3 linked regions of the Arabidopsis thaliana genome follow. The protein of the gene in region 2 interacts with the protein of the main gene of each other region in a pairwise test. Each region holds a gene or a part of one and is shown on either strand. Other genes may lie near its edges.

Region 1 (4,912 bases), on a different chromosome or scaffold from region 2:
CCACATAGAGCGCCAAATAGTGAAACTGCCATCACAACTTTCAGCTTCTGCTTCTCCTGAGGCGGGTAAGACACATCATCTCTGCTCAGACCAGGGCTCGAGAACTCTGGCATCAAGTTCAATCTCAACATCAACTTCAGCAACAACAACATCAAACCCTTATGGTCTCTCTTCAGGATGTGAATACTTCATAGTGACAATAGCAATGCTTCCTGACACTGCTATTCATCAACAAGCTTCCTGATCCTTTTGCTTGTTCCTAAGGCAGCAGATAGACGTGATGGAAGAAACCCCCTCCCCCCAAAAAAGAACAAAAAATGTAAATACTTTGAATTCAAATAACACAATCTAAAACCAGACAGCCCCTTTATATGATTTGTGGGTTTCATTTGTCTCTTCTTTAACTTTCTTTTATTTTCATATCTTTCTTCTTTATGTACAGCTGATGATCACTGATCTTAGTTTAATCTTTTCTCCTTGTATTGTACATACTCTGCTATAATTTGAATGCTGTAATAAAAAGATTACTAAATATTACGAGAAAATAAAAAAGTTTTAGGATAAATAATGGAATCTTTTGCCTCTGCCAACTTTGGTTTATATTGGGAATAATATACAGAAATTAATCATCAAAACATGTTTCTTCAAATCCCTGTGGGGGTTGTAGTTACCAAGTGATAATTTTGATTTACAAGAAAAAAAAAACAGAAAAGCTACTAGTCCAGGTTCCTATACTTGCCAAATCCAGAAAAGAAAGGCGGTATCTATAAATTATCTATTATATGCATCACCATCTTCTTCTGAAATGTTGGACAAGAACTTTGGCAAGGATGTGATCCGGGGGAGGTGTAATAGCAAATCGCTGAATGAGTCTTTCCTTAACATACCCTGTGGTTTGCTGCTAGAAGCTGTATCAAGAACTCTGTTGTTGTTGTTGTTGTTGTTGTTGTTGTCAGAAACAATTCCCTTGGGTTCAGACTTCAATCCAACCGACATTTCGGTATTGAGCTGTGAGTTTGCAGCGACGTTGGGATCCTTGTACAAGAGGTTGAATAAAGAGTTAACCCTTGGCATGAGAGACTTCTCATCTGGTGCCTCGAACTGGATATTATCACTTAGCAACTGCTGTTTCATGATCTCAAATTTCTCCATATGTTCCGGATGACTTCCACCAGCAGAATCAGAGAGAAGTCCAACGAAATCGCTCACTGACATAGATTGGTGTAGTCCAGGTACTTTTATCTGATCTGAATCAGTTATGTTTCTTGAATCAGATAAATATGCAACGAAATCACTAACTGACATAGATTGGTGTAGTCCATCTACGTCGTCAGCCAGATTCAAATCCGTTGTGTTTTTTGTATCACAGAGAACCGCAAGGAAATCACTCAGTGACATAGATTGGTGTATTCCAGGTGCTTCGATCTGACCACAATCTGTTCTGTTTCTTGAATTGACTGCTTCAGAACCCCCAATTCCTTCATTTGCACGAGCATCTATCACTAGAGATGAACGAAGCAAACAAACAGAAATATAAATCCACAATCCTAATCAGGTTCAACAAAAGTGAAAATGAAAAATTATATTCTAATAACGAGTTATGAAAGCAACTAGAATGAGCGAGCAGTCATCATAATACCTGAGCTGGGTGATGGTGCTTCATGAGACAGATACATATGCTCAGATGATGACTGAGCCCCAACAGGAGATGCTAAATTCTGAGTCCCAGAGATCGAAGGACCTGTACTAAGATTCAAATTCCCAAAAGGATGGCCTTTTGATTCACTTGGATCCTCAAAAATAGATTGCCGTGCATCAAAGTAGGGAGAGTCAATAGCTATCTCCGGCTGTCGGCTTAGATGGAACAGACGATGATCACATTGAACGAGCTTTTCAAAATGTTTGTTCATTATCCCTTGAGCACATTGCAGAAAATGCTGCCTAACAGATCACAGGGAGACTATCGTTAGCTGAAGCTAGGACATCACCAAATTTATTCAGAAAAAATTTACATGAAATGCCTGTACCTGTTCATGCTGGCTTGGCCATCAGTGAAATCTGATGTCGCCTGCCACAAGGTATGCTTTCTAGGCTGTGGGTTTGTTTCCCGGAAAAATAAGGGCTGTCTAGCAAGCTGAAACATAAAGAGTCAAATCATTAAAGTTGAACAAGAGTGATATGTTGAGCAAAAGAAAAGAACATGAGTGAATGTTATACCACGAGAGTCAAAGTTCCAGGTCCGTCTTCAGGACAGTTTGCCTTCAAAGCCATAATATCTGACCACTGGATCTCGATTTTACTCTTAAGACCTTGTTCCAACACTTCCCAAACAAGTTTGTGTTTAGCAAAGTAACACTTTGCCACCAAATCACCTTCATACCTCGATTTATACTGCACAAAAAAAGAAACCAAGTCAAGTCAGATTTTGAAACCACCATGAAAACATATCAAAACGAAACATTTCGCAGGACTCACCTCCCACTGCCCGATCTTCAAAAGCGAAGCAGGAAAGTTAGAAGCTTTCAGCTTCTCAATACTTCCTGGCGCCAAAGTCGGTCCAACTGATGCAGCAGCAGCAATAGTTTTACTTTCTCTCTTAAGACCAGAGCCAAGTGCACCAGCTTTCAACGTTTCAGCTGCTTTAGGATCACCACAATGCGTTATCTTCATCTGAATCAACTCCAACAAAGATGGACTCTTCTTAAGACTCAATCCAAGAGGACTCGGCTCATCAAGCGGGTTATACTTAGCTGGTGCCATTGTCGATGAGCTTGTCCCAGGACTCCATAACTAAATTCAATGCAACAATCAATAATTAAAAAAAATACATCACCAAACAATTCACAACCAGCTAAATATAAAACCATCACTGCATGCTAAGAATTGCTATTGAATTATCGCAGAAACTGAATTAGATCAGCTCATCTGAGAAGAAAAAAACAAAAGGAGAGAAATAAACAAACCCTAGATCGTTTGTTGAGAGGACCATGCTCTTCTTCTAAATCATCTTCAGCAATCTCCAATTTCACCGGTAGCTCATCTCGGCACCTGGCCGCCGATTCAGACTCCGGTCTTAAACCTCCAGATTTCCTCATTTCCACCATCCCCCGAAAAAACAAACCTTTCCTTCTCAAAAACTCAAATTCAGACAAAATTCGGATAACCCACAAACGAAATCACGAAATTATTCCACAAAAGGATTTATTTATCTGGAACGCGAAAGAGAATCAAAAGCAAACCCTAGAAATCAGAGTATAAAACATTTACGGGATCTCTCTCTTTGATTGTGTAAAAAAAGGATTCTCCTGGCGGCTATCGACGCGCGTATACCGCGATTTCACCGACACGCGCTATCGTTATTTTGACTCCGAATGCTGCTGAAATTCCCAAATTAGCCACCATGTTATGCCTATGGAAAGAGGGCTAAACTTGTCATTTCTTATGTTTATTAAATATTTTAGTTAATTCGCTGGCGAACAACCAGTAGTTCTTGATTTATAGGGTGTAGGGTCCCACAATTTTTTTTATGACGGCTACAGATAGAGTATTTGCCACGTGTTACTCGTCTTCCTTTTGCCTTTAATTAACTAGGGAGGAGACACGCGCGTTGGTGGTTTGTTTTTGGTTTTGTTAGTATGTAATTATAACTTCGATTTTTTTTACTGATCTTTGATTAAAAGGTGAATATCTTTGTTATTTGCTAATCTTATTTTTTGATTTCTACATTTTTGTAATCTATGTATAGTTTTACATTTTTTTTTCATATTGTTACCAGTTATATGCTAGAATTTATAGGACAATAGACCAAACTTACTATCTTGTAAGAATATTTTTTAGAGTTATATATATCTAAGCAATGCATTTGTTACATTGGTCTTGTTTTTATATATTTTATTTTAAATTAAAAATACAATGGAAATCTCTCTCTCTCTCTCGTATTAAGCGGTTGCTGCAGAGGATAGCGAAGAACAGAGACTAACGACGAAGTTATTTTACACATCGTTGCCATTGTTAATTTTGGCCCAATATGAACCCGCCCATTTGTTTTTTCTCTTTGTGTCTCTGTTAAAATCTTAGAAACTACTCTTTGGTTTTGGGAAGATTTCACTTTTCAACGTCTCTTCGCGAATTAGCCAAAAAGAGTTGGATTATAACAATATTAACATTGAAAGTACGATATGCTTAGATAATTAATTAAAAGTTTGATTTTATTGTAAATATAAATTTCCTTACAACAGCAAGGAAAGACACACATTAAAGCAAAAGAAATAAGAGTAATAACTTTGTTTTGAGTCTTTGTGATAGTTCACTGCTCAAACATTATAGGGAATTTTTTAAAAACAGTTTCCAACTCTCTAAATGTTTTGTTTAAGTTATACCATAAAAATAAACTTAAACATTTGTTTGTAGAAAAAACATTTCTCACATGTGTTGTCCAAATCTCTTGGATGGCACACGTCGGGGGGTTTCATGTTGCGAAGTGATATCATGTACAATCTTTTTCTCGCCACTCTAATCCCATTTAGTGAAGTTTTGATTTGTTTCCAACACGTTTCAGCCATGGTGGTGTCTTTAGCCCATTCAAGTTGGCTCATATAGGTTTTTCCCTCTTCAGTCCTTCCTCTACATAATAATAGCATGACATACATGTAGATTGCTGGCCTCCGTTAGCTGCTATGCCAATATGGTGGAGACCAACGTCACAATGATCAAGGTTAAAGTACCATATTATACCTTTTATGTAGTGAGCTTAGTTTTTCTATAAATAGAGAGGCATGGAAAAAAGGAGGAAGAAATCCATATTAAAACGTCTTCAAGCTCCTCAGCTCGTTCTCTAGCTCCTCAGCTCGTCCTCAAGGTACTCAGATCGCCATCAAGCTCCTCAGCTCGTCCTCAATCTCCTTAGCTCGTT
Region 2 (4,037 bases):
AGAACATTCTTGGTACTGTCATGAATGAAGAACAATTCCACTTGGCCAGGAAAATCAAAGAGAATGTAATGATCTGCAAACAATTCAAAACGTTTTACTTTAAGAAAGAGATATTATGACCACGAAAAGAAGAAGAAGAAGAAGGGACATATCGTTGCTAACCCTTCAGAAGAGGCTTTAGTTTAGATTCCAGCCAGTCAATGTTTTTCTCCAAGTACTCCATACAATATACAAGACCTGTCACATTAGAAAGTTTCTTTGTTAATTTGACCAAAGATTAAAATCAAAAGTAAGAAGAAAAGGGAAAATCAAGATGGCAAAATTCACCTCCATTAGGACCAAGCGAGTGTTCCGACATAACATCTTCTAACTTGATCAATTCTTCTATATTCACACCACACTCATAACTAAAATCAATGTCAAGAAACAACATACACCTGCAATTTTTAACAATTTTGTTGTATTTGGCTTGAAAAGGATACGGTAATGCATCATTTGCAGGATCCAGATTAACAATAGCAACCTTCCTGCAACAACAACAAAATAGTAACTCAACGTTAAGAGAATTTACTTACAGAGAAGTTCTCACGAATCTGCAAATCTCTCTACCAAAAACAAAGACAAGGCAACAACATTTCACAATGACTCTGCTCAAAAGTCAGACAATTCAAATTTCTGGAATTCAACACTATTATTTACTAAAGTTTGCAACTTGTAAACTTTACAATGCGAGGGACAGCGAAACAATCAATACAAACAGAATTACAGATACAAAAGCCAAGTAAGCTTCATTCTTTGATCCAAAAAGAGAAGAGAAGAGAAAGAACATGAAACCTGCCCATTAGAGAGAGGAACTGAGACATTCCATTGCAATAAGTGGTCTTTCCCGATCCTGGAGGACCTATTACTACTTGTCCAAACACCATGCTTCTGAAGACGAAGAAGAAGATTGATACCAATCGGAGTCAAACACGTTGTATAATATCAGAGCCAGTCAGACAAAAAAACACAGTAATTGCAAAGCAAAATCATCTAATCATCAAACTAACATAACATGAATATTCAATAGAGAACATCAAAACCCTTCTAAACACTGAGCTCGTAGCACAATAGAAATCGGAAATGTCATTTGTTCGTCGGACACAGAATACAAACACAATCCTCCAATATTATTAACCCAATTCCTAAACCTCGTTTATAATACAACAAACAATTCACTGGAGAAAGAGAAGCAGAGAAACAATTTGCTTCAAGAGCATATTCATTATATCAGAAGCAACTGGAGACACAGAAGAAAATAAATAGAGAAGCTCGCCTGTGTAGTTAGCCGGAGAGAGAAGCAATGACAGGTCTGTTTGCCGGAGCAAGAGAAACTCGCAGCCGGAGACTCGTCGAAGACTCGATTCAAGGCGAAGTAAGCTCGCCGAAGACTCGATCGGTATATTTAAATTAGGGCTTTAATTTTAATTCGGTTTATTCGTGCTATACTCGAACCGAACCGGATAATCGAAATTAAAAAGAAGGAAACGATCAAGTTATTATTGGAGTATCCGAACCCAAACCGAAAAGTGAATTTCGGGTCGGTTTGTTTTCGGATAAGTTACCAAGGCCTAATAAATTGGTAAACCGTAAACCGATGCATCAGGGTTTAAAATGTAACAAAATAATATTTTAGGTGACAATTAAAAACGTAACAATAAAACAAGGGGTTATATTCGAAACGTTTGCACCTAACCTTATAACTTCGCATTTTTATACTCTGTTCTGATCGCAGCAAAGCCGACGTTGAACTTTCTCGCCGCCGGAGCGCGTGATCTCCACTCTCTGTCATCGAATCACTCTAATTGAAGATTCTCCGATGGCGATTGTCTATGCTGTTGTAGCGAGAGGTACCGTGGTATTAGCTGAATTCAGCGCCGTTACGGGAAACACAGGCGCCGTGGTGCGACGGATCCTCGAGAAGCTTTCACCGGAAATCTCCGATGAAAGACTTTGTTTCTCTCAAGATCGTTATATCTTCCATATTCTTAGATCTGATGGTCTTACCTTTCTCTGTATGGCCAATGATACCTTTGGAAGTAAGTATTTTTCACTTTCTCCGAATCGTAATCTCTCTTAAGAAGATTTAGTCTTTGTAATTGATTCTGAGTTTTATGTTTTGATGTGTTGGTGATTGGATTTTCAGGGAGGGTTCCATTTTCGTATTTGGAAGAGATTCATATGAGATTCATGAAAAACTATGGCAAAGTGGCTCATAATGCTCCAGCTTATGCAATGAATGATGAATTCTCAAGGGTTTTGCATCAGCAGATGGAGTTCTTCTCTAGTAATCCTAGTGTTGATACTCTCAATCGTGTTAGAGGAGAAGTCAGTGAGGTATAATTGTTTCTTCGTATGATCTCTAGATATTACTCAGCTATATCCATTGAAAAGGTTGAATTTTTATGAGTTATTACGCCTTCTTGGCTCACACAGGCTTCTTTAAATCTGTCTTGGGTGAAAGATGAAGTTTGTTATCTCATTGTTGTGTTATCGTGTTTACAGATTCGATCGGTCATGGTAGAGAACATTGAGAAGATAATGGAAAGAGGTGATAGGATTGAGCTTCTTGTTGATAAAACAGCAACAATGCAAGATAGCTCGTTTCACTTCAGGAAGCAATCTAAGCGCCTTCGCCGAGCTCTTTGGATGAAAAATGCTAAGCTCCTGTAAGGATCTCTCTCACTTCTAGATTCTCTTCATTCCTTTTCTTTGCTAACTAAGAGATACGCTCTTCTACATTCTAGGTGTTTCAACTCGCCTTTGCAGCATAGTTTATTGATATGTTTCTTAAACTAGAGATACAGTAGTTCTAAGATTCAACATTATTTTCGATTTTGGGAAATTCTCCTCGACAAAATATCTAATTTTTGGCTGATAGGAACTACACTGCCTTGATTCCACCTCTGCTTAAAGAAATTTCATTATTGTTTTGTTTTGATGCTTGAGTTCCAGATCACTTTTATTAATCAACAAAACTGCTTTTCTTGTTTGTGTTCGGCAGGGTCTTGTTGACATGCTTGATAGTTTTCTTGCTGTACATAATAATCGCATCTTTCTGCGGAGGAATCACTTTACCATCATGCAGATCTTAAAATCTGGCGGCCTTATCTAAGGTATACTGAAACGGACCACTGTTTTTGTAAATCAACTCAGTCGCATCATTTCGATTTGAAGCCTTGGTTTTGTCATGAAAATGACTGTGAGTTTGAAGTTACATGTCATGGTCCTCCTTGCTTATGTAACTCTTGTAAATGTCAAAATCAAAATGATACAGAGGTTCATTGAACTCTTGCCTTGTCTTTTAGATTTAGTCACGTGAGTGAGTTTGTTCTCTGTATTTCCAAAACTTTATCCGCTGTGTCTTTATAATTTTTGCATTTGCAATGTACATCACATATTCGTTATTTTTGTTGTTAAAATTACTTCAGTTTTCATCTTTGTTTAATAACATTTCTGATTCACAAATATCTGTTTCCATCATTTCTGTCTATGTTTTCATTAACTAAATCATATTAGTTGCTACTACCTTTTTAGCAAGTTTGTCATAACTTGTTACGACTTTATATATGTCATCGATACAGTTTAATCCTGCCTGTACTGATGAACACAGTATGAATATAACCAGAATGCTTAGCACTTGTAGTTGGAAATAAACTCTTACATCCAAAAAATTACGAGAAACAATAGAGTGAAATAAACAGCTACATAGTTGTCTTAGCTGTATTGATAGTCGGGCACTACACATGCATCGGAACAAATGTATCCAGTATATGGATCACAAAGCTTTAGAATGATAGGAGCTCTGCATCTGGAGTGACATTTTGCACAGAAGGGGCGAGAACTATAGCTGTTAAGAACCACTTCAACTCTAACATTATTGTAGTTGATGATGCGTCCTGGCATGAGACGTGAAAAGTCTCCAAGCACACATTCAATATGTGCAGTAACCACACATTTAGAGCAAGTGTAGAACCACTTACTTGGATCTGTTTCCG
Region 3 (3,742 bases), on a different chromosome or scaffold from region 2:
GTCATTAGATTACCTTAATGTAAATATTCCGTTACACTAAAATAAAAGAATCAAGCCAGATTGTTTAAGGCTGCAAGCGTGTGCATTTTGTATAAGAATATGATTTTCAAAATACTCCATCCGTTTCAAATACTAGATGTTGTGGAATATTTCTTCTCGTTTCAGAAATTAGATTTTTTTTTTCATTGAATGTTTTTTATTTTACCTTTTAGTTTACACCTAATTTAATACTAAAGAAATTTTCTAAATAATATGAATATACAAACAATGGTATACACTTTGTAATTGCAAATAAGTTTTTATACAGTATACATCATGTATAAAAACTAAACATATACTAAAATATATCTCGAAACAGAGAGAATAATAAAGTAACTTATATAAATTTCTCCAACTAACTTTGAACTAACCCGTGACTTAAGTTGCTTCCTTAATATGACAAATAAAAACATTGGGTTCTTTAAGATGCGGAATAAATACCAGTACAGTTGAAGTAAATATAATGAAATATGTTGACCAAATAATATAAGAGTATAATTTGGTTACCTCTTACTCTCTAGTAGTATCTAATTAATTAGAGCGTTTTTCAAATAATTAAAGATCAACTATTCATTCATCAGAGAAAATCCATTACATAACAATTTACAAAATAACATCCATCTCTTCCTTTCTGCATTTAATTTCTTTTCAATGAAACCCCCTGATTTTATCTATCATTTACAGAAATCGAACCTACAAAATAAAACCATTCAATTCTATCCCCCAAAGTTTTTTTCACATCGAAATGTTAAGATCAATCTTAGGCTTCTTCATGGCAGGCAAAGGAACAAACGAATGACACCTCGGGCATTTCGGATTGTTCTTTGCCACAAACACGTACGATAAGCACCCTGGACATCCAGCCGCCACCTGAGACGCCGCGACGGTGGCAGAAGCGGTTCCATCGTAAACGCCGTCATCTTCAGGAGATTGGCGTTTCTTTGTATCTTTCTCCGCCCTTTCCAAAGCCAATTTCACCTTATCTAGTGTGCAAACACTCGATAGATACGAGAGAGACTGATTTGGAGAAAAAGAAGACAGAGGAGGAGGAAGAGGACGAGAGATAGAAGACGGAACTAGCTTCAGTTCAAGGCTTGTGTCGTCGTCATCGTCGAAGAGGCTTAACAATGGTTTCGCCGGAAACTTATCGGAAATCGGTGGCACATTCAAATCTTGAAATCTTGGAACTGTTTGGTTGGTTTGGTCTTCGTGATGATGATGATGATGATGAGACGATGATGACGAGCTCGTTGAATTGCATTGTTGTTGCAGATACACTTTCCCTGACTGTTCAAAAAAATCACAACGAATCTATAAATCATTCAAATCTTTGGAAACCTCTCTGTTTTGTTAGTTTCTTATCTCCAAATTCTCTCGAGAACACGAAACTACAAAAATCAAGAAGAAAGAAAATAGCGACGAACCTTTAAGTCGAGACGTTTTTCCCATCCGTTAGGGACTTGGACGTCAAGGTCAAGCTCCAGCGACTGTTCGTCTCCTCCTCCTCCTCCACCCACACAACCGCCGATTCCGAGGAGATCGCGTGTCATGAGCGCCACCGTGGATCTTGGTCCGGTGGAATCTTTTACAACCGTCCGATCATCCTTGAACCTACTCAGTATCCGTACGAGAGAGCTGACGTCAGCAGCCATACCAAGAAAGCAGAGAGAAAGAGAGAGAGAGAGGGGAGGTCAGTTATGGGGTCTGTTAGGCAGAGAGAGAGTTATATAGATGGGGCCATTGTAAGAAAAACAGAGCCTTCTACTCTCAAAGTTAATTACGAGGACGGTTATAAGTAGTAAATTTATAGCCAATTAATTTCTTTCATTTATTGTGAATATACTAGGATACTTTTGTTTGCATGGAAATTCTTTATTGTTGTACCATCTTTTGTCTACCGTGAAAGATTTAATTTCATGTGTAATTTTGTATTCTACACCTTACAATCTGTGAAAGATAGTATATGAATCATTTCATATTTCATATTTTTGTCATACGTTTATAAACTGGAGATTGTACCCATTCCATTCATGCCTAAGTGGAAAAAGGCTAAGGTAAATATCATCAAACCCATAATTCAGAACTTTATGAATCATCTTTTTCATCGACGAACTAAACTTTCAAACTCTTTTTTTTGTTGTTGCCAACATAAGTATTAAATGAATAAATAAATAAGAGTAACAAATTAACAGCAAAAAGGCCAAAGAAAAGGTGTGGAGGGAGGAATTCAAGGAGGAAGCAGACACAAAGTGTAATAAATGCTAAGAAAATAAAACGCATTAAATGCATGGAAACTACAAGTAGATTCAAGCTTCTATCCATTAAATTACATATTTTACCCCTTGTCATACTCCTCTCTCTCTACTTGTTGTAATCATAATTTTCAAATTTTTCTTAGTCTTACGTTCAAATTCAATTAATTACTCAATTAACTACACGCATTGATGAACCATGTATTTAATGCACTTCGTCTTCTCTTTTTTATTGGGCACGTCAAAGATATTTAATGAAGTAGGTATTGGTACGAATGTGGTATTTAGAGTAAACCACCATTAGTATTATGTGTTTAACACCAATCTATATCCCTTTAGCAAAAAAGATAAAACAAGAACATATCCTTCATATATTTCTTGACTTTTCGAAATCTTATTAGAACCAAACTCTTACACATATTAAGGCCATAGGTTGGATATGTTTTTTATGTCCCCAATAATTTCAGCCACTATTCAGTCTGTCTATACCTATATTCTTTCTGTTGTTGCATACCTATATTCGACTATGGTGAATTAGTTTATATTTTAGAGTAAAATATATTTTTGTTGTGAGTTAAATTTTATGATTTATGAGTTTAGAATTTCAACTTTTATATTCATGGTATATTTTCTAAGAATTTAACGTTTGAAATTTAGAGTTAAGGATTTCAAGTTAACTGAAACAAAAAAAATTATACTACTATTGTTATAATTTGATATAAATTTAAATTATTTGATAATATTCATTTAATATAAAATTATAGAGAACTAAATTAAATAAAGTAACCGTTATAAGGCGTTAGAAAAAAACTTTTCAAGATTGTATTGTCTTTTTTAGAACCTTTGTCGATAATATATAATATGGACAACGATATTACCATTAAAATTTATAATGTTCTATTATCTTTTTAAAAATCCAAAATGTCATATACGTTTTTTGTCAATAATATATAATCTATACAATGATATTAACACAAACTGCTAATTTATCAGTCAAATTTATTATTTAAACTTACAACGTTCTATTACCTTTTGAAAAATTAAAATATCGTTTATTTTTTTGTCGATTTTATATAATACAAACGATATTAACACAAACAACCAACTTACTAGTTAAAATTTATAACGTTCTATTTTCAAATTTTAAAATCTAAAAATATCAGTATTTATGTTTTTTGTCAATAATATATAATACGTAATGATATCAACACAAACCATCAATTTACCGGTCAAAATTTATTATTCAAACTTGTAACGTTCTATTGTCTTTTTAAAATATAAGAATATCATTTATATTTATAATCTACAATATATATAAATAATATCAACATAAATCAGCAATTTACCAATTAATTTTTATTAATTAAATTTATAAGGAAAAGGTTTGATTATTATTATTATTATTATTTTAAAATATTTTTTAGGCTAGATTGTTGCATGGGCTCTTGACC

Evidence for each region.
Region 1: the proteins of VAMP714 (region 2) and AT4G30780 interact in a two-hybrid assay, tested with the Arabidopsis thaliana proteins (one large-scale study listed by BioGRID).
Region 3: the proteins of VAMP714 (region 2) and AT1G16500 interact in a two-hybrid assay, tested with the Arabidopsis thaliana proteins (one large-scale study listed by BioGRID).

What each region holds. Positions count from the first base shown.
Region 1 is NC_003075.7:14,988,715-14,993,626, reverse strand, and holds AT4G30780 (ATP-dependent DNA helicase), read right to left. Parts: upstream 3,342-4,912; 5' UTR 3,105-3,341; coding exon 2,964-3,104; intron 2,791-2,963; coding exon 2,476-2,790; intron 2,392-2,475; coding exon 2,218-2,391; intron 2,135-2,217; coding exon 2,028-2,134; intron 1,942-2,027; coding exon 1,640-1,941; intron 1,503-1,639; coding exon 772-1,502; 3' UTR 542-771; downstream 1-541. Other genes in the region: AT4G30790 (autophagy-like protein), read left to right, coding at 1-244.
Region 2 is NC_003076.8:7,403,476-7,407,512, reverse strand, and holds VAMP714 (vesicle-associated membrane protein 714), read left to right. Parts: upstream 1-1,629; 5' UTR 1,630-1,858; coding exon 1,859-2,078; intron 2,079-2,185; coding exon 2,186-2,376; intron 2,377-2,544; coding exon 2,545-2,708; intron 2,709-3,043; coding exon 3,044-3,134; 3' UTR 3,135-3,509; downstream 3,510-4,037. Other genes in the region: QQT1 (P-loop containing nucleoside triphosphate hydrolases superfamily protein), read right to left, coding at 1-73, 163-237, 328-407, 483-527, 835-926; AT5G22355 (Cysteine/Histidine-rich C1 domain family protein), read right to left, coding at 3,757-4,037. UniProt on the Arabidopsis thaliana protein: Involved in the targeting and/or fusion of transport vesicles to their target membrane.
Region 3 is NC_003070.9:5,637,028-5,640,769, reverse strand, and holds AT1G16500 (filamentous hemagglutinin transporter), read right to left. Parts: upstream 1,992-3,742; 5' UTR 1,692-1,991; coding exon 1,464-1,691; intron 1,327-1,463; coding exon 775-1,326; 3' UTR 568-774; downstream 1-567.